Linked DNA regions of Macaca mulatta. The protein of the gene in region 1 interacts with the protein of each later gene in a pairwise test. Links are inferred from orthologs where the notes say so. Each region holds a gene or a part of one and is shown in the gene's direction. Other genes may lie near its edges. The genes, in order: JAKMIP2 and CLIP4.

What was found.
Region 2: the proteins of JAKMIP2 (region 1) and CLIP4 interact in binary tests that used the Homo sapiens proteins (3 or more experiments, as listed by UniProt). The two-hybrid records come from large-scale screens. The link is inferred for Macaca mulatta from reciprocal best matches to the Homo sapiens genes JAKMIP2 and CLIP4.

What each region holds. Positions count from the first base shown.
Region 1 is NC_133411.1:156,661,241-156,672,242, reverse strand, and holds the start of JAKMIP2 (janus kinase and microtubule-interacting protein 2), read left to right. Parts: upstream 1-5,844; 5' UTR 5,845-5,966; coding exon of another isoform or gene 5,967-5,969; intron 5,970-11,002.
Region 2 is NC_133418.1:95,786,614-95,796,785, reverse strand, and holds the end of CLIP4 (CAP-Gly domain-containing linker protein 4), read left to right. Parts: intron 1-4,747; coding exon 4,748-5,069; 3' UTR 5,070-7,021; downstream 7,022-10,172.

The sequences.
Region 1 (11,002 bases):
CATTGAAACAGAAGTTTTCTCATTTCTTTGGCGTCCCTGATTTTTTGGTAACTTAAGCCCATGTATTATCTGCCATGGTAATATACAACTGTCCAGGACCTGAAAGGGAAAAACTGCTTCTCATTTCAGCCTCAGAGCAAAGGTTTGTATTATCATGTAAATCTCACTTAATAAATCTGAAATGGAGCAGTAGTTACTGTGAGCATCATACCTCTTTTTTCTACTGTTAGAAGAATTAATCCTTTGGCCTGTTTTCATTCATTCTTATCTCATACAGCTTGTCCATTCCATAGCTATTGACAAGCCCTAATCCCCTTAGTAAATTAACAGAAGAAAAATGGAAGAAAGAAGTTCTGTGTTTACATGTGTTGGGAGATGGAGAAGGCAGATTTTTTTGACAAACATGTAGGTGGCACATAATGGGTGCCATGTTCTGTGCTAGGTATTAGGATTAAACAACATTTGACCAGCATGCCATGTTCTTTCACATATCAGGACCTACATGCATATTCTAAATCACCTGCTCCCATTTCACCCCACAATCTCTCCAGTAATATCTTCCCTGGGATTCCAAACTACATTATACTTTTATTTTATCTGCTGTCAGAGCTGCCTGATTTTCTTTATTGTAGTGCTCAACATAATTTATTTTAAGTAATTATATAAGCTCTCTTTCCTCTTAGACCATAAGCTTCATGAGGGGAGTTCTCATGTTACCTGACTCACAGCTACATCTTTGGTACCTAGTAACAGCACATGATAGCAACTAACAATAAACATCTCTTAGATTGAGTAACAATAAATGAATGGATGAACCTTGACCTCAAAGGCCTTGCACTAAAATAAGAAGGAAAGACAAATAAAAGAATATTTACCATTCACCATGTAAGTGTAGTTAGGATGTGTCACAGTACAATGGGAACCCTAGCTTCAATGCTAACCCTCGTATCAGTGAAGATACCCTGAAGGAGTTAATGGATACATTTTAAAGGTTGAAGAGTTGAGGCAACAAAGGAACCTCAAGAGGACATAAACTGAACAAACACAAAAGTGTCTACTTGCTATGCAGGAAGTCGTCTGCAAGATCATCGGCCATAAGAGTGTAGAATTCATAGGAGAGTTCTTCTAATATATTTGCTTACTGATACTATTGATAAAGGATATACAATGAGGTCAGAATGAGATCCTTATTCTTAGCAAACTCAAGAAGATCCTTACTGCTTATATTTAATGTTCTCTGTAAATGTATAATATATTAATAATCTCTCATAAAGAAGGCAGGGGACAAATAACAGTCACTTATGAATGCCTTTGTTTTTGCCCCCTTTTTGGGGAAATCAGGCTTTTGATGAAGTGTGACATAAGCATCTCCAGAATTCCTCATTATCTCTTGATAGCTGGTCTGCAGCCATAACAGCAGCTTTTAGAATAACCCCAAGTGATCTGAGTGCTTTGGAAACATCCAGAAAAATGTGCTAGGCATAACCATAGTTAATAAAATTGTGTTTATAACAATACTGATATGATTTATCATTTATTACATGCCAGGTACTCCTTAATATTTTGCACACATAAACTTCAAAAACGACTCAATGGAACCAAAGACTTCCAACAACCCTGGGAGTGAGTCTGGACTCACTGAACTCAGTCGAGGCTTCATATGAGACAGCAACCACAGCCAACTGTTTAACTACAACTCATGACAGGCTTTGAGCCAGAAGCTCTGAGCTAAGCCACTCCCAGATTTCTGCCCTGCAAACACTATGAGATAATAAATGATGTTTCAAGGTGCAAACAAATCCCACAGAACAATAATTCAGTGAGGTAGGTATTGCTATCATGTCCTACAGATAAAGAAACTGAGCCATGGAGAAATACAGCAACTTGTCCAAGGTCACTCAGAAAAGAAATGGTAAAGCCTGTACTCAATCCAGGAAGTCTGTCCCCAGAGCCCACACTTTGCAGCTTTCTCCCATTATGCTGTGGTATCTCCTGAAATTTTAATGCCACTTTTGGAGCCAACACCCATACCCTGTACTTTTTCAGACATCTCACGGAATTCAGAAGTCAAAGTTGGAAAAGTCCCAGGAGAGACAGACAGTTTGGTCACAATTAGTACTATTGACCAAGAAGCTCTTAGAGGAAAATCAGTGTTGCCCAAAGAACACCATGCCTACCCACTGAGGACATGTTAGATGACTTTGAACATACGTGAACAAACATTTTTACTTTCATAACTGTGTAGTTTTAAAATCTGTGCCAGATAAACATTACGTTAACATGCATGTGTGCTAAATAAGGTAATTAGCATAATTATCTAAGTAATTAGAGAAATACCAACAATATATCTGAACAAACGATACTATATGTATTATTATATAATTATATGTATAAATGATAGAGCCATGATTCAACGCAGAAAGTTATTCTTTCATTTATTTACTGGTTTATTCTTCAACAAATATTTATCGAGCACCTAATAGGGCCCAGACACCACTCACAAACAAACATGGAAATAAAAATCCCTGCCCTCTCATAGTTTATGTTCTGATAGGGAGAAACAGATAAAGAAATTTAATAGCACCAAAAAAACAGTATATCACTAATATATAATATAGTACACATTATAGTATAGCATACTACATTAAGCAATGTTATAATATACTGTATTATATTATCATAGAATATATTATTAATGTTAATTTTCTATACAGTTATATAGAAAAATAGAGCATGGTAAGAGAGGGGATGGTAATAGAGAGGTGTGAGTTTTAATCTTTCTTTTTAAATTAAAAATTATTATAAATAAAGCTGAAGTCTTTGTTTTACTAAAAAATTTAAGAATTTGTTTTCATTTCCTTCCCATGGGTCCATTATCTTTACCATAACAATTTTCATTTATGTTTTGCTGAAGTCACAGAAACATTTCATTTAAAAATGAATAAATGGCAAATCAAGTAAATCATAATTAAAATAAATAAGGGAAAACTATCAATAAATAATGATAACAGTGCTGCCTGGATATGACCAAAAACAAACGAGTAAGTTGTATTTGAATGGTTAAATTGGAGATTTCTTCAAATAGGAAACACCAAACTTTTCTCTCACCAGTTGACCCTTGACCAATTGTTTTATGTTGATGGGAGGAGTGGAAAAAACTAGAATCACTTACCCCTAGCCATTTAGCTCCTAGCACTAAGGATGAACCATATGGTTATAGTTTATTAACTATAACCATAGTTAATAAAATTAACTATTTAATTAACTAGACAGTGTGGAGGGTTCTGTCATCTAGTATGTCACAACTTCTACAGCCTTCAGCTCCCTGGTCTGCTTGCTTACAAGACCATCTCTGCGGAGAAAGCAGAAGATAAAATACAGGAACACTGAAAGAAGAGAGATGATCACATCCCATTCCTTTATGTTACACGTTACGCATAGGTGATGCTGACTTGGAAGTGTTTGCAGGTTGTGTGGCCGCCGAGGCTTTGACAGAAGACAGGGGACACTAGCTGCACAAAGGAGGTCGCAGGCTTTCCCACCAAGTGGATGGAAAGCCAGTGTCAAATGCTGGGGAAGTGCTGCAACTCTTTCCCTCATCACCTAGTTATCTTCAAGCCGGTTTTATTAGAAGAAGCCCCTGACATCAAGAATGACACTATGCAGGAAAAAGTCTTCTCACGTTTTAATATTAGTTACTTACAAATGAGTAACAACTAACCGTAGCTACATCTATTGAACATTTCCTATCTGCTAAACACTGCACATTTTACACACATCATCTAGTTTAATTTTTGTAATGACTCATGAGGTTCTGTGATTATTTCTTTTTACAGATGAAGAAATGTAGATTTGAGGAAGTTAATAAATACGTTCCAAATTATACCTATAGTAAATACTGGCACTAGGAATGGTGCCTAGGTCGTCTGACTCTGGAACTTGTGTTAATTCCATTTGAACCTGTAAATAACTCTGTGGATTAAGAACAAAGATTATTTCCATTTTATGGAGGAGTGGCAGAAACGTGTAGTGGTTAGGAGAGCAAATGTAAGTGTTAGAAGAGCCCATTTTGGGGAGGCCAAGACGGGCGGATCACGAGGTCAGGAGATCGAGACCATCCTGGCTAACACGGTGAAACCCCGTCTCTACTAAAAAATACAAAAAACAAAACAAAACAAAACAAAACAAAAAAAACTAGCCGGGCGAGGTGGCGGGCCCCTGTAGTCCCAGCTACTCCGGAGACTGAGGCAGGAGAATGGCGTGAACCCGGGAGGCGGAGCTTACAGTGAGCTGAGATCGCGCCACTGGACTCCAGCCTGGGCGACAGAGCGAGACTCCGTCTCAAAAAAAAAAAAAAAAAAAAAAAAAAAAAAAAAAAAAAAAAAAAAAAAAAGAATTCATTTTGATTCTGGCTCTGTCGTTTATCAGTTGTGAATTTGGGAAATGTATCTAACTCCTCTGAGATTTACAATGTCCTCAAATATCAAGATGTAGAGAACACTTAATCTCTTAGGGCCTCTCTGTCTTTGCCATCATCATCATGGTTATTACATATTTTGGGTTTTCTCACCTTAATTTTTTCTCCTACCTGAAATTGCCATGTTATTCCCCTTAAACCCTTAGATTAAGAGGTGGCTACAATGTACTACTATGCCGTTAATAGTAAATATTTATTGTACACTTACTACATGCCAAGAGCTTTTAGCGCATTATCTCATTCAATCTTTACAACCCCTGCACGAGATAAATACGGGTGTCATCTATAATTATGGTTAGAAACAGAATTCGCCTACAACTGGACATTGCTGACCTCACTTCCCCTTTTCCTGCCCACCACCCTGACTGCCAACTGACTTCGGAACTCCAAAGGGGCATCCATGAAAACGACAGGAATTGCCTGCAGGAAAATGAATGCTCTAGGAGTTTGACTCTAAAAAGATTGGGAACTGTCCACCAACTGGTGCTACTGAGAATAGTGGTTGTTGAAAGGAATTTCGGTCTCTATCCCAACTTACTTTTCCTCAGGGAAGCGTCAATTTCCTCCAAGTCCTCTTCAGAAGGGTAGCTGGAAAAACAGTGAAACCAAGTAACTTACCTGAGAACAAGCCGGGAGTAGTGCAAAGGAATCAACCAGATTCTTAACCTATTACAAAGTCCAGGCACTCCGTTTGCTTTCTAATAACCTTGTTGCCTGGTATTGAGTAAAAGATGCTATAAAGCACGAACACGTTTGGAAGTAATAATAATCTGCTGTTATGCGACATAATTTTCTCCATATTTGTTATTATTTTTCTGATAATAAATTTCATACATTTTATTGGAAAACCACAGAAAATGCAAAAAATAGCTAAGCTGTTACGTATGTTTCGATCTAAATTTCAATTAAATTTTAATTATTCTCTCCCCGTGCCTAACCACCCTTACCCCATTTTTTAAAAGACCTGGAGTCCAGGGTAGGAGAGATCAAGAGCGTCCCAGAGGGCAGCAGCACAAATTCTCTCTCCCCTCCAGACCCTGCAGCTTGCTTCGCCCATCTCCCCTCCCGCTTAGCTTGGTCGCTTATCATTGGTCATTGCCATGGCAACCAGCAGCTGCCGGGCCGGCAGCCTCTACCGCAGCAGGGGTGGGGCACTGGGGGAGGGGGAGAGAGAGAGGAGGAGCCAAAGGAGGTGTCTGCTGCAAGTTCCTGGCTGCTTCCGAGCTCACCCCATCCTCCGAGAGGGAGGAGGCCCAACTGGTGATGCTGCTGCTGCTGCCGCCGCCGCCGCCTCTATTGCTGATACTTTAGCGGGGCTGGAAGGGTGGTTCCTATTCGCACCATCGCCAACCAGAGACAGAGGGGGAAAAAAAAAAAACCGGCAGCCGCTGCTGATGTTGGGTTCGGAGGCTGCATCCGACTCGGTCACAAGGAAAATGGATTCAGTTTGCATCTCTCCCTCCTTTAAACAGCTTCTCCGGGTCTCAGCATGGTGAGTAGGAAACAGTAGGGCTCCCTTCTTGGTTTAGCGTGTTATTATTTGACCTATGTATACATTTCTGGCCTGAACTTGAACAATGACTCCCGTGCCACAGACTAGAAGGGGGAGATGTGGAGACAGAGATGAGGATGGAGGGAGAGGAACGTTGCCAGGAAGAGAGAAGTGAGAAGGCAACCGCTTGTGTTTAAAAAAAAAAAAAAAAAAAAAAAAGGTGTTCTGATTTTATCTCTAACTGGCTCAGAATGCAGACTGAGCCACTTGGTGCCTTTTTCTCCTAAGCTTAGCAACAGCATCAGGGGTTGGAAAAAGAGCTAACAACAAGAAGAGGGTGTTATTGAAAGGAATCATTTCATTTGCAGCTCTCACATACAGGGTTGGGCCTTCTTCAGAAATACATTTGGTGTCTCATAAGCTTCTCAGACTCATTATAAGGTGGTTTTGCTTATTTTATTGATTGCTTAGAAAAAGTGGCCCCAGAATTTGACATTTTATTTTGTACTCTTGTTGAGAAATCATTTGCAAGACCCAGTTTTATTTTATACGTAGATTTGATTGTGAACTTACACATGTATATCTTATGGATATATATATCATATATACACATGTTACTTAGCATTTATATTGCATTTATGAAGCATATTTATATGTAGGGTGTGCTTTGCAGTCATTTTTATGGTTTAGATATGTCCTTGCATTCCTGGAAGTACTTGCATGTTTTTGAAACTATGCTTCTGGTTTATATTATTATTCATTGGCTTTATTTGGATTAATGTGAAATTTACTCTGGTTATTGTCTCTTAGTTTCATTGTGACCAATTGGAACAGATGCCTATGATTTGATCTGTGTCACAGAACTAGATGCAAATTCGTAGCCTGCCTCTTTATTTTTAATTGGGTTTGTGGGGGATGATATTGAGGACTCCGAATTTACAATGATGGGAAAGGGAGGTGGCTTGTGGTATTATTTTGTATCTAGCATCTTACCAAATCAATGTTGAAGCAAATCAGTTTTCTTGAAATGCCACCCCAACCTTTTCATGTTTGTGCCTTGTATCCCAGGAAGCACAGCTGAGCTGGCAGGTGAAATGCATTCATTTTATTTAATAGTGCTGCTATCTGCTGTTCATTCCTTCAGTATCCAGGAACCATTTTACAGTTCTCTCAAATGTTGTATTAAGGGTCTCCTTCTGTAAATAAGAACGTAGGATTGTTTTGAAAATCTAGGTATTCCTAAGCACCCTAGCCCAGCCGTTTCCAAATTAGTCTGCTTATACAATGAAATGAAACCAGGGAGTGAGCAAAGCTGAACAGGAGAATGTGTGGCTTGTAGCTGAATTGGGCTGGGGGGGGGGGATGTGTGGGGGGGGTGGGCTATTGTAATTTACAAATGCTTACTGGGATCTGCTTGACCTTTTATTATGTCAAGGTTTTAAGGCAGCTCAGGAGACTAAAGATCCCTGAGATGAGGAGGTTCCATTCCCACTCAGGATAATGGATTTCATTGAATTAAAGCCAGAAAAAAATATGTAGGTAGAGTGTATTAGTAGTATTACATTTACCACATGGGCTATTATAGTTTTATCCATTAGTCTCTTCTCTAACAATATCAGTGTCAGTACAGACATTTTTTACAATGTAAAATGACAATTATTTGGGGCTTTAGTCTGGCATCTGATTCTACATACTCCCCCCACATTTATAATTTTCACATGTATTTGAATCGGGTTTATAGTTTAATTTGTCTGAGAATAATTGTTCTATTTGGCTTATACATGAGAAGGGCCCTTGGGGACTTAATTGTGCATGTCCTCATAGCATGTCATATATTATAGATCCACAGCTTTGTAAACTCATGCTACTTTGTGCCTAATTGTAACAACTATATGAAATAGGGCAAGAAAAGAGGTACTGGGCTTGTATGTTATAACAAATTGTATAACACATTGTATCCTGAATCTTTTAGTGATAACACTTGACTTCCAAAAATCAAAATGTTAGATATGTCTATTGTACACTTAAAAAATTAAGATTTGTAAAATTAAGATTTGTTGACCCCATTTCATGCAATGAAAGCAGATATCCTGTGGCTTTGTTTTTGTTTCTTTCTTGTTGAGTTTTCGTTTGGAGGTGGTTTTATAGGCAAAGTTGGTACAGTTTGAACAGAGGCAAATCCCTTAGGTCATGTGCTTAAAACTCCTTGTAGATAGCCTGTTTCAGCTATGTGTCTGCTGTTACCCTGATAGAAATACAGGTCTAGCTTTTGACCCCAGTCTTTAAGACAACTATATGACCTTTGCTAAGGGGCCGCTGAAAAGTGAAGTGTGTTTCAAGCACTAGAAGTTGAACTCTCTGCGGAAAGATTTTTAAAAGCTAGGATTCGTATGTAACAAATCTGCATGTTGTGCACATGTACCCTAGAACATAAAGTGTAATAAATAAATAAATAAATAAATAAATAAGCTAGGATTATTTCATTTGGAGAAGAGAACAATGAAATACGACAATCATTTGTTTCAGATAAGCTGAGCATGGGGCATAAGCATAGGACATTGCTTATTGCTATTTTTTGAAACTTCAAATGTGGTCAATGGGCTTCAACTTTATGAGGAATTATGAAGATTAGAAATATAAAAATGTAGAAGTTCCTCATAGTAAGTGTGAGTAGTCAACTGGCTAATCAAATAAAGCAATGTACTCTTCTCTCATCAAAACTGCCAAAAGTATGACCTAGATATGCTTTTGTCTAGGATGGACTAGATTTCCTTCTCAAGAACTTCTCTTGCTTTTTCTAGAGTGAGTCATTTATTTAAGAGAGTACATTAGTTGTTTAAGATCAGGCACTTCTAGATTATAACAGTAAGACTCCATTTTGTAGTTGGCTTCTAAATTACAGGATCTAGGTATTTGTAAAGAAATCAACTGATCATCTTCCTAGAGAAATTTACATGTAATCCTGCCAGAATTCAGGAAACTGAACATTTACCTGTTCATAAGAGCCCTTCTTTCTCAGCAACTTTATGGAGTGTGATGTCAAATACCTATATTAAAATTATCTCATATTGTATAGTTAATTTTGAAAAATGTAATGTGTCATTTAATGGGGTCTTTATACAAAATAATTCAAGAGCCATCAAGTTGTTTTTTTAAAAAAACAAATTATATGAAAGATATATACAAATTAATGCTTAAATGTGCTATTTAACAAACTAATCTTCCACTCAAACACTATCTTAAAAATGTCATTCATGTTAGAATATTAAAGTTAAATATTTTGATTGGTATGTAAGACTTTAGTAAAACTTGTTTTAATTAAGACACACACTAATTAATTTCTCACTTTGTAATAGGACGTTTCTCATTTCGGGTGACATCAGAACATGTTTTGATTTTATGTACCTGCTGCAAGTCGGCTTCAGGATGACTTAGACAATATTTGCAGAGTGAAACAGTTTTTTACATTTCTTTTTGGTTCATGAAAAGTCAATACTTTGTTTCTCATGGTTGGAGCTTATTGTGGAAGTTTTAACATAAATAACGCAATGATGGTCTTTTACTGAAAGAAATACGTTAGGTTTATACTTGGTTGTTACTCTGTGAAGTGTGTTACAATTCCCTCTGTTTACACATTCCACTATTTTTCTATCAAGGGAAAATGTGCTTTCAAACAGGATAAATTAATCAATTGACTAACAACTATTTGTAGAGCTTTCATATGACTAGCAGAATTTGCATGTGCTAGCAAAAAAGAATTTCCTTGGAGAATATAAGATATACATCCATGAAACAGTTAGTGTTGAAAACAATATAGTTGTAATTAGTACCATCACTTCACCATATATTAATACAAGTTTTCATAATTCTGTCATTTTTCCATTCTTTTTCATTTTATATTCTATCAATTTCAATTTATATGCTATCATTTCAATTCTATCATATCAGCAAAGCTAGTGTCATAGTAATTCTTTAAAATAAGTGGAAACAGATTCAAGGAGGTTAGACTTGTCCAAATTTGTGTTTGGTAAATGGTGTAACAGGCTGGATCCCTAGTCTCATAAGTACAAACTACTATAGTAGAAAGGTAGCGAATTATCTTACCAACATGAATTTTAACTAATCTGTGTTGTGTGGCTCATTTTATTTGAATATTTCAGGTACCAAAATTTGTTCTTTGGACATATCAAATTGCCAAATACACTATGTGCGTAGGGTATCAGGCAAACAAACAAAAAATGAAAACAAAACAAAACAAAACGGCTCACACACACAAAAAGAGTACTTTAGAGAAAATCTAGGCTTTTTGATATATCAGAAAAACCTAGAAGCATTTGTTTGGGTGAAAATCAGAACTTTATTGGACTGCTATGCATTTATTTTATAAATAAATATTGTTTTTATTTTTAATGACGTAGAGTTTGGGAGGTGACCATTGTTTTCTGTGTTTAGGATCAGATTAAAATTCCTGTAGGTCCTGAATCTTGAAAAAATTATGCCACCTCCCACCTATATGTCCTAATTATCTCTCTACCTACACATTCTTAAAAGTAAAAATGATGTTGTTATAAAATAAGTGTACATGGCCGGGCGCGGTGGCTCAAGCCTGTAATCCCAGCACTTTGGGAGGCCGAGACGGGCGGATCACGAGGTCAGGAGATCGAGACCATCCTGGCTAACACGGTGAAACCCCGTCTCTACTAAAAAATACAAAAAACTAGCCGGGCGAGGTGGCGGGCGCCTGTAGTCCCAGCTACTCCGGAGGCTGAGGCAGGAGAATGGCGTAAACCCGGGAGGCGGAGCTTGCAGTGAGCAGAGATCGCGCCACTGCACTCCAGCCTGGGTGACAGAGCCAGACTCCGTCTCAAAAAAAAAAAAATAAGTGTACATCAGTTCAACAACTTTCTGGTATTTTCTCTGAACAAATGCTCCTACATTTTTCTGAAATATAAAAAATATTTATTTGTTTTTCAAATATTCTAATTTTCTGGTGTATCTTTTTCTTTATTAATTCCCTAGGCACATACTGGTAT
Region 2 (10,172 bases), on another chromosome or scaffold:
TTGCAGTTCTCTAAACTGTATGCTTTTCAGGAATATAAAAAGTAACACATATTTTGGCCAGGCACAGTGGCTCATGCCTATAATCTCAACACTTTGGGAGGCCGAGGCGGGAGGATCACTTGAGGTCAGGAGATCGAGATAATCTTGGCCAACATGGTGAAAGCCTGTGTCTGTGAAACTACAAAAAATTAGCTGGGTGTGGTGGCTTGCACCTGTAGTCCCAGCTGCTCAGGAGGCTGAGGCAGGGGAATCGCTTGAACCCGGGAGGCAGGGGTTTCAGTGAGCCAAGATCACACCACTGCCCTCTATCCTGGCAACAGAGCAAGACTCCGTCTCAAAAAAAAAAAAAAAAAGAAAAGAAAAGAAAAGTACAAAAATTAGCTGGGCATGGTGGCAGGCACCTGTAGTCCCAGCTACTTGGGATGCTGAGGCAGATCACTTGAACCTGGGGGGTGGAGGTTGCAGTGAGCCTAGATTGCTCCACTGCACTCCAGCCTGGGTGACAGCAAGATTCTGTTTCAAAAAACAAAAGAAAGTAATATATATATTTTTCTCAGACGACAATCTCTGCATTTCCTTTTCTGTGTGCTTATCTTTCAAGCTGGCAGAAATGCCATTTCCCCACTAACGTGTCTTTCCTGAGGCTTTAAGGGAGGAGAAACGCCTTCCTCTTCCGTGCTGTATACAGTCTTTATTACCATATTTGTAACATTTTACTGACTGTTCTGTACAGATACCTAGAGCGTAGCCCCATGCCTGCCATTTCATAGGTGGCCAATACATGTTTTTGAATGAGTAAACGGAGCTCTCAAACATACCGCAATTCTCAGTGTCTCAATTCTCTGGCTTTTGAGCTTTGACATACCTTGAATCAGATAAATCATTCTTATTAGAATGTGAAGTGTTTACCCAAGCCATTAATTTTTGGTTTAGATGCTGAATCCATTATTTGCTTGTTTGTTTAAAAGCTTTTTTGATTACGAAAGTTGTATAATATTTGAAAAATTAAGAAAAACCAAATGTAAAAAGGTCATCTGTAATGTTGATATCTAGATGAGATTATCACTGTTAGCATTTGGTATATACTTTTCCAATTGTTTTCCTAATGCATGTGTCTGATTTTTTTTTTTTTTTTTTTTTTTTTTTTTTGAGAGGGAGTTTCACTCTTGTCGCCCCAGCTGGAGTGCAATGGTGTGATCTTGGTCACTGCAACCTCCGCCTCCTGGGTTCAAGTGATTCTCCTGCCTCAGCCTCCCGAGTAGCTGGGATTACAGGCCCGTACCACCATGCCCAGCTAATTTTTTGTATTTTTAGTAGAAACGGGGTTTCACCATGTTAGCCAGGCTGGTCTCGAATTCCTGACCTCAGGTGATCCACCTGCCTCGGCCTCCCAAAATTCTAGGATTACAGTGTGCACCACCGTGCCCGACCATGTGTCTGAATTTTTAAGCAATGGGAAATGAATCATATTCCATATACCCATTTCAAAGCTTTCCCCCTGTATGTCATGCTCATATTCCCATATTCTTTAATAGCTTCCTTCCGCGTTACTTTAGCAATGTTTTTAAAGACTGTGCCGTGATATGAAAACATTTTTATGTTTTTTTTCCATTAATTTTTTTGAGCCTCAGATTCTTCTTCCGTTATAAGGAGGTAATAATCCCCTCTTCACTGGTTTGGGTGAGATCAAAAGAGATAACGTATGTGAAGTGTTAGGTACCTACTGAGTGTTCAGGAAGTGATAGCTGTTGTCATTATTCATGTGAAAATTACAGTAATTTTGTCAGGCTACAAAAACTTATTCACAATAATAAATGAAAAAAATCAGAATTTAATTTGTAATAGATGCCAGACTTGTAAAACATGTATTGAACTCTCCCCTTCCTTGCACCTTCCCCAATACTTCCTGTCTCTTTCTCTACATATATGTATGTGAGGGTGTTTTTCAATATTTATGTATTTATTTGATGAGTCTTACTCTGTCACCCAGGCTGGAGAGCAGTGGCACTATCTCAGTTCACTGAAACCTCTGCCTCCTGAGTTGAAGTGATTCTCGTGCCTCAGCCTCTTGAGTAGCTGGGATTACAGGCGCCTGCCACTGTGCCCCTCTAAGTTTTATATTTTTTGTACAGCCAGGGTTTCACCATGTTGACCAGGCTGGTCTGAAACTCCTGGCCTTAAGTGATCTGACTGCCTCAGCCTCCCACAGTGCTGGGATTATAGGCGTGAGCTGCTGTGCCTGGCTCTGTTTTCAGTTCATGCATTAAAGGTCTTTATTTGCAGTTAATTTTAATGTGGAGGAGTGGTGAGAATCATAGCCTTTGTCTCAGCTAATTTTTACAGCACTTCTAATTCCATGTTCACTCCTTTTTCACTGCTTTGAAGTTTTACTTTTTAATCACATGTAAAATAATTATGTGTGTGTTTCATTTTTCTAAAATATGTTTTCTGTGTCATTTAAAACTACATTCTTATGCCAGAGCCACATTATTTTAACTGTTTTAACTTTATAATTTAACCTAATGGCAGCGTAAACCTTGCCTCATTATTTTTCAACCTTTTCTTAATTACCAGTACCCATTCTGTTTGTGAAGAGAGCCTGGCCTTTGTGCTTATGCAGCCATGGATCTGAGCCTCGTCTTTGCTCTTTTCATCTCTCTGACCTTAGGCACATAGCTTAATTTTTTTGAGCCTCAGATTCTTCTTCCGTTATAAGGAGGTGTAATAATCCCCTCTTCACTGGTTTGGGTGAGATCAAAAGAAATAACGTATGTGAAGTGTTAGGTACCTACTAAGTGTTCAGGAAGTGATAGCTATTGTCATTATTCCTGTGAAAATTACAGTAATTTTGTCAGGTTACAAAAAATATCCATTTGGGGAGGATTAACCTATATACATTTCTGTTTAGTAACAGAGCTCCTCCATGTGTGTTCTTCAGTAAAGATTTATGCTTTTTCTTACAGGTATTACATGTTTCTTCAGTAAATTTATTATTTGTGCATTTGACATGTGAATAATTTAAGACTGTTTTCTAATTAGAATTCTATCACGTACTTGCAGATGTGGCTTAGAATAAATCTCTGAGCCTCAGTTTTCCTATCCATTAAAATTAGTCATCTTCCTTTGTTGCAGGGTGGTTAATAGGAGCAAATGAAACATTGTATGTGACAGTGTATTAAAAATATAGAAAATGAAATGAAATATGAAATAAGACCCAGATTCTGTTCACAACAAGCTCCTGTGTAGTTTTAGTAACAGGTTCTGTGTTGAATCTCCTGTGGGGTAGGGAGAAGGGTTTCTTTTGGAGGGGGGTGGCATGGGATAGAGGATGGAAGGCTCCAGGTAGTTTTGGTGGTTTCTTGCCGTTTTGGAAGGTCTCAGCCCAGGGGGCAACAAGACTCTGGTCATGTTTCTGTTGTGGGTGAATATCAGGGTCAGTTACTTCCAGTGGACAGTGCAGGCAGCTCTGGGGCAATATGGCCTTGAGGCCTTGGGTGAGTGCACTGGGGAGTCCCATGCCTCATTATCAGGTTGTGGTGGTGGTGAGTGCTAGGAGACGTTCTAGCACATTGTAAGGAATGTTATGTTGTAGGGAGAAGGAGAGGCAGCTGCTCCAGGCACCTCAGACCCTCATTAGTGTTAGTGGCTGGGAGGGTGCTAAACTTTTAACTGTAACTGGAGTTTATACATAGAACATATGTGCATATATGTATAGATATTTCCAAAGTTGTAGATTTACAGTTTTTGAAATTTGTTTTCATATGAAAAAATATTTTTTTCGAGTGAACAAAAAATAAATTTACTACACTGTCAAAATACTAGATTCTTTTCTTTTTGCTTTATTTGATAATATTGATAGCAATTAAAACAGCCAAAATACTAGATTCTTTCTTTTTGCTTTATTTGATAATACTGGTAGAAATTAATTAGGTATAAGTGTATTTTTTCTAATTGCTATTTTACTGAAAGCATATATATGTGTATGTGTGTGTACATACACATATATATGTGTACACACACACACACACATATATATGGCAAATGAAATCTTAAATCCAGAATAGGGTAGTCTTAAAATAGCGCAAAGACAAAAACTTTTAAAATGTTAAACAAAAGTACAGTTGAACTTTGAGTAATGAGTGCGGGCATTAGGAGTGCCATCCCCTGCTTGCCTGCACAGTTGAAAATCAGTGTATATCTTTTGACTCTCCCAGAACTTAACTACTGATAGCCTACTGTTGACTGGAAGCCTTACCTATAACATAAAGAGCTGATTAATACATATTTTGTAAGTTACATGTAGTATGTACTGTATTCTTACAATAAAGTAAAAAAATGTTAAAGTCATAAGGAAAATATATTTACTATACCTTAAGTAGAAGCAGATCATCATAAAGATCTTCATCTTCATTCTCCTCACTTTGTGCAGCCTGAGGAGGAGGAGGAAGAGAAGGGGTTGGTCTTGCTGTCCCGGGTGGCGGAGGCAGAAGAAACTCCGTGTATGCGCGGACCCACATACTTCAAACCTGTGTAGTTCATGGGTCAACTGCATATTCTAAAACTGCTATTTAAAATTTGAAAATCAAGTTGTGACCATAAAGTATTCTCTTTTGGGAACTGAATGAATGAATTCTGCATCTGGCAGTGGAAATGATATCAGGAAATGATGGCTGTCGTCATTCTTTATGTGAAAATCACAGTAATCTTCAGCACTAAAGAATTTTCCCCACTTTTCCCTTCCGCACAGATCGAAAGCTGCTTTGCGTCGCAGTTGGAGCAGCACTCCCCCTGCAGGCGGCATTGAAGGGAGCGTGAAGCTGCACGAGGGGTCTCAGGTCCTGCTCACGAGCTCTAACGAGATGGGTACTGTTAGGTACGTGGGCCCCGCTGACTTTGCTTCAGGTATCTGGCTTGGACTTGAGCTCCGAAGCGCTAAGGGAAAAAATGATGGGTCAGTGGGCGACAAGCGCTATTTCACCTGTAAGCCGAACCATGGAGTCTTAGTTCGACCGAGTAGAGTGACCTATCGGGGAATTAATGGGTCCAAGCTTGTGGATGAGAATTGTTGAGTTAAGCTTCTAATATATTAAATAAGCTCGAATATATATATTCGAATATATATATATAAATATATATATATATATTTGGTGTAAATAAAGAGTCCATGGTAAATGGTTTACTTTATTTAGCCATATTTAAATTTTGAAAATATAGTTATCTTCTTAAAAACCATTATAACAATTCAGAGAGAGTTCTTTACAAAGCCATGAATATGAACTCTGGGGAATCATGGTTCTTTTAAAGCAATTTTCAAAATAAGTACCGATTAAAGCTTTAGGTCCCAAGAAAATTCTGGGACTCAGGAAGAAAAAGTGCCATCAGGTGACCAGCTGTTGCATTTCTTTGCTTATTCTGTTTTTGTTTTGCACAAACCTATTGGATTTTTCTTAGCGCCATAATTGCGAAGGGTTTCTCTAGCTTTGGTTACGAATAATGTTCACATGACCTTTTTTTTGGTCAAGCATTTTTGGAATTTTTCTTTCTTTCTGTGCTTTATTACTAATAAGTCCAATAAGTGAATAGTAACTAGATGACTAGTATGTATTTTTATATTTTGGTAAAATTATTTGCCCTTTCAGAAATGCCTCGTCTAAAGATACATGATAATTTTGGGGTTGGAAGGGGCCTCAGAGCCTCTGCAGCTCTGCTTCTTGTCCATTGCCAAATACGGAAGTGGAAGCCCGTCTTACCTGGGGTCACTAACTGGTTGGTTAACTGAGCTAAGAGTAGAATGTGGGTCTCCTCACTTGTGGCCCAGTGCTCTTTCCTCTATACAAAATGTCTAATCTCAGATTTTTCTTCTGCTGCTTGACTGCTTCATCTGGATGAACTACAAAAACCCATGATTAAGGTTTATGAATTCAAGTGGTAATTAGATTTTTTTGCACAAACTTACTTAACTTCCTTATTGGATATGTTTGTAACACATAAACACGAAGCACTTTTAAAACATGATGCACTTTTATCTTTGTGAAGAATTTACCGTCCTTTCCTCCTGAGATATGAGAAACATTTTAAAAAACGTATTTAACGGAAGAGAGCAAATAAAGATATATTAGGAGGGATGTATTAGTTATTTACTTAAATGTTTATAATATCTGGATTTTTTTTGTTTTATTACTCATAGAACTGGTGTTGGGTTTGCTGTTTTTATTTCTCGAATTGTTGCAGAGTTCAGCCTGTTACAAAGCTACAGAACTGTACTGTTTTTATTTTTCTTCTTGAGCACATGTTAAACTAAGCTTCATATTAGAGTGATGTCATAATGTAAAATGTTTGCATTGTGGTTACATATTGAAGTTAATGTCCTGTCTGTGTAAAGATTCATCTTTTATTGTGAATATTTAGACTTTACCACAGAAATATTGGAACAGTTTGCTTTATAAGATTAAAAAGTATCCTTCAGAATGGAGCTTGCCTTGTGCTTAGAAATAATATGTTGAACTATTTTGCAATATACTATTTTAAATCTAAATTCTGTCACTTCGCTGCCTTTTTAAAATAGTGTGGTGTTTCAAATATTGCTAGAGCTATTTTCCTGAAATACATTTGCAAAATAAGGCTGCTTTGTAATCAAGGAATATTTTTATTGATTGAAGGAAATGACTGTACTGCGATTCAAAAGTAAACTTATTTTATTATACAGATTATTTCTTAAAAACTCTATTTATACCTTAACATGAAATCCATGACCACACCAAACTTGGTTATTCATAATTTTTCCTGTTAAATATAAAACACTATAAGTTAAAAACAGTAATGCCAACGTTGAATTTATTTTTGAGGTCAAAGAACCAGTTCTCTTTATATTTAGATGAGGATTATTAAGTCCATATAACATGTATGTTTACATATATTATACATGCAAATTAGGTGTTTTCATTTGTGTTTTGCTTATGAAATGTCATTTAAAGTTCAATTCTTGAGCATCAATAAAAAGGGAAGCTGTGTGGTTTTGGAATGTTATCTTGTCATTTACCCTATTTGCAACTCTCCTTTTTCTCAGTAACTCAGGGTACATATGCTTTGAACTTTTTCCTCATGGTAATGGCTTGGGTTTGTCCTATCCCTATAAAGAATATTAAAAAGTATCATGCTTTCTACTCAACAATGTATGTTCATAGCCACCCTCCTATTATTGTTTTGATGAATAGTGAGTCATTTAAGAAAAGAATACATTTCTACAGTTAGGATTTCACTTGTTTATTTAGTGTAGGATGGAACACTTTGAATTTAGAAAATAGAAATAACTGCCTTTTACTAAACTTTGTTTTTATATTTTGTTTTATATTTAGGGTGACTTTGAGGGAATATTTTTAAGTATGTAAGAATGGTGAGATACAGCTGTTTGCTGACTGAACCGTGGTGTTGTAATCTTGGTGTGAGTCTCTGGCACCTCCTCCCAAGAGCTCCTTGTTCCCCTCTCATGTTTTAATTTTCTCTTTAGCATTTGGTCATGCTTACTACTGATTACAGCTTCTTGCTTATTATTTCTTCCTTCCTTCACTAGATTGAGGAGTGGATTTTTGACTGTTTTGTTCACCACTTTATCCCCAACGCCTAGAATAATACTTGATACCTAGTAGACGCTCGGTTTTGTTGCGTGAACAAAGGCAGTAAAGGCCACTGATTGTTGGAAATATGCTATCTAGCTAGCTAGCTTCAGACAAGGGGCCTTGCGAGACTAGGCCACAGAACAGGTAAATTTTCTTAGACATGGAAGGAAGGAGGACAAGTTTGAATCCAGGAGCCCCGAACTTACCCCTGAAGAGTGTCGTGTAAGAGACAATAGATGCTGAGTGGTGCAGCAGTAGGGAATGGGGAGGAAAGACACAGCAGGACCAACTGGGTCAGCTCCCTTTCCCTTCTGCCTGGTGCTGACTTTCAATTCCTATTTTAATATGATGGTAATGTACAGAACATGGAAATACGTGTGGTCTAATGTGGAGAGAATGAACTGGATCATACCCAAGTGGGGATAACGTTGATCTCCAGTATTTTATTTATATATATATATATATAAAATACTTTATATATATAATATATAAATATAATATTTTATATATTAAAAATATAATATATATATATATATATATTTTTTTTTTTTTGAGTCGGAGTCTTGATCTGTCACCCAGGCTGGAATGCCATGGTGCGATCTTGGCTCACCGCGACCTCTGCCTCCTGGGTTCAAGCGATTCTCCTGCCTCAGCCTCCCGAGTAGCTGGGATTACACAGGCACCCACCACCATGCCCAGCTAATTTTTTTTTGTATTTTTGGTAGAGACAGGGTTTCCCCATGTTGGCCAGGCTGGACTCAAACTCCAGACCTCAGGTGATCCACCTGCCTTAGCCTGCCAAAGTGCTGGGATTACAGGCCTGATCCACCATGCCTGCCTGTGTTAGATGTTTTTATTTCAGAGTTTTATTTTGAGGCTACCTATTTAGAACGTGTGATAATATTATTTAAACCACATCAACCAATAGCTAGAAGCCTATTGTGTTAAAATCATTCTTAATTGAGAAATAGTTCTAGTTTTTTTAATTACTTACCAGATGGATATTTGTTATCAAAATAACAAATGACTGAATGACTCAGAGACATATAATATCCATTACCACATTGCAAGCCAATAGAAGAATTAATTTTTTATTTTTTTCATGCCCTTCTCTACACTTATTTATAATACAAATACAGTGGTTAATACAAAACTCACGTTATCATGTATATTTTTAGTATTTGTTTAGTATCCCTTGGTACATAGGCCTTATTTACAAACAGTGTCACATGCTGTTTGAATATAAAATAAGCATTCCTGATGAAGTTTATGTATAGGATGAACAAGTTAAACTTGCAGGACATGTTAAGATTGTATTATAAGCGGAATATGATGCTTTTGCTTAGGCAAAAAGATGTTCTATCATACTTTTTTGCTAATGCTCCTTTTTATGAGAGGAAGTCTACATGGTGGAATTCGAGTAGAGGGGCACATATTACTGACATTAATATCCTTTCATTATGTGTGGTCAAATGAAACTTTGTTTTATAGCTCTCTGTTGAGAGCAGCATCAAGGTGTAGGAGAAGCTTTTTCCTTTTATCTTTTTAGAATGTCTTCCAAAGATTAGAATGTTCATGACAATAAATCAGCAGCAAATTTCATCATTTACTATACCTTTCAAATAGGGCAAGTGTAGTGGTCATGGTGGTTGAGAAGGGGCAGGGCGTTCTGAATTATTAAAGATATTTCAGGTGTTTAAATTGAGGCTGTTAGCTGAAAACATAATCTGTTCCCAAGGATCACTGGTGTCATTTTTTAAATGCTCATAAATCTGGTTTAAGTTTGGCTCTAAAATCCCTCATGAACCTAGATATGTGAGTGTGTTGCCACCGTAGCCCCAATAGACTCCTGCGTCAGGAGGAATTTGGTCTCAGGATTAGATATTTAGTCAGAGTTGTTTCAGCTGGCTACATAAAATCCAATTGGGATCAACTGAACTCAGCAAGCTAACTGAGTACAGGATACTGTACTGAATTTGAATTTTAGGCATTTCTAAAGCATAGAAGGTTTAACCATCCGAGTGCTGTGTTCTTGGCCTGTGTCCATCTGAGGGAGGTTAAGTTCTTTCAGTTCCAGCCCTTCATGACTTTATTCCAAGTAGACAGACTTACCTTATTGAAGACTGAACTAATTATCATTTTTCACATAACAAATCAGACCGACATGGAGATGAATCATATTAAGATTATATGCACAGCTTCATGCCATGCTTTTTGTTCTTTTCTCTAGTATGACTTCTGAGATTCAGCTTGAAACTCAGTCAACAGTGTTAATGACATTGGCTGCCCCTGACAGTTCTTGTTGTGAAGGGGTGGTTGTTACTATCCAGTATCTTTGGGGGAAAAAAAACCCTAAAATGAATTTTTAAATGAATTTTAATAGTCATAAAAAGTCTAATATTGATGGCAAGGGGAAGTGGATTTTGTATTACAGACAATATAGAGCATTACAGAGCAGAAGAATAAAGCAAAAAATTAGAGTTGCCTTTATTGAACCTGCCAATACAAATGGATTTCTAATAAGAATTCCAGTACATTACACATATCAGTGAAAAT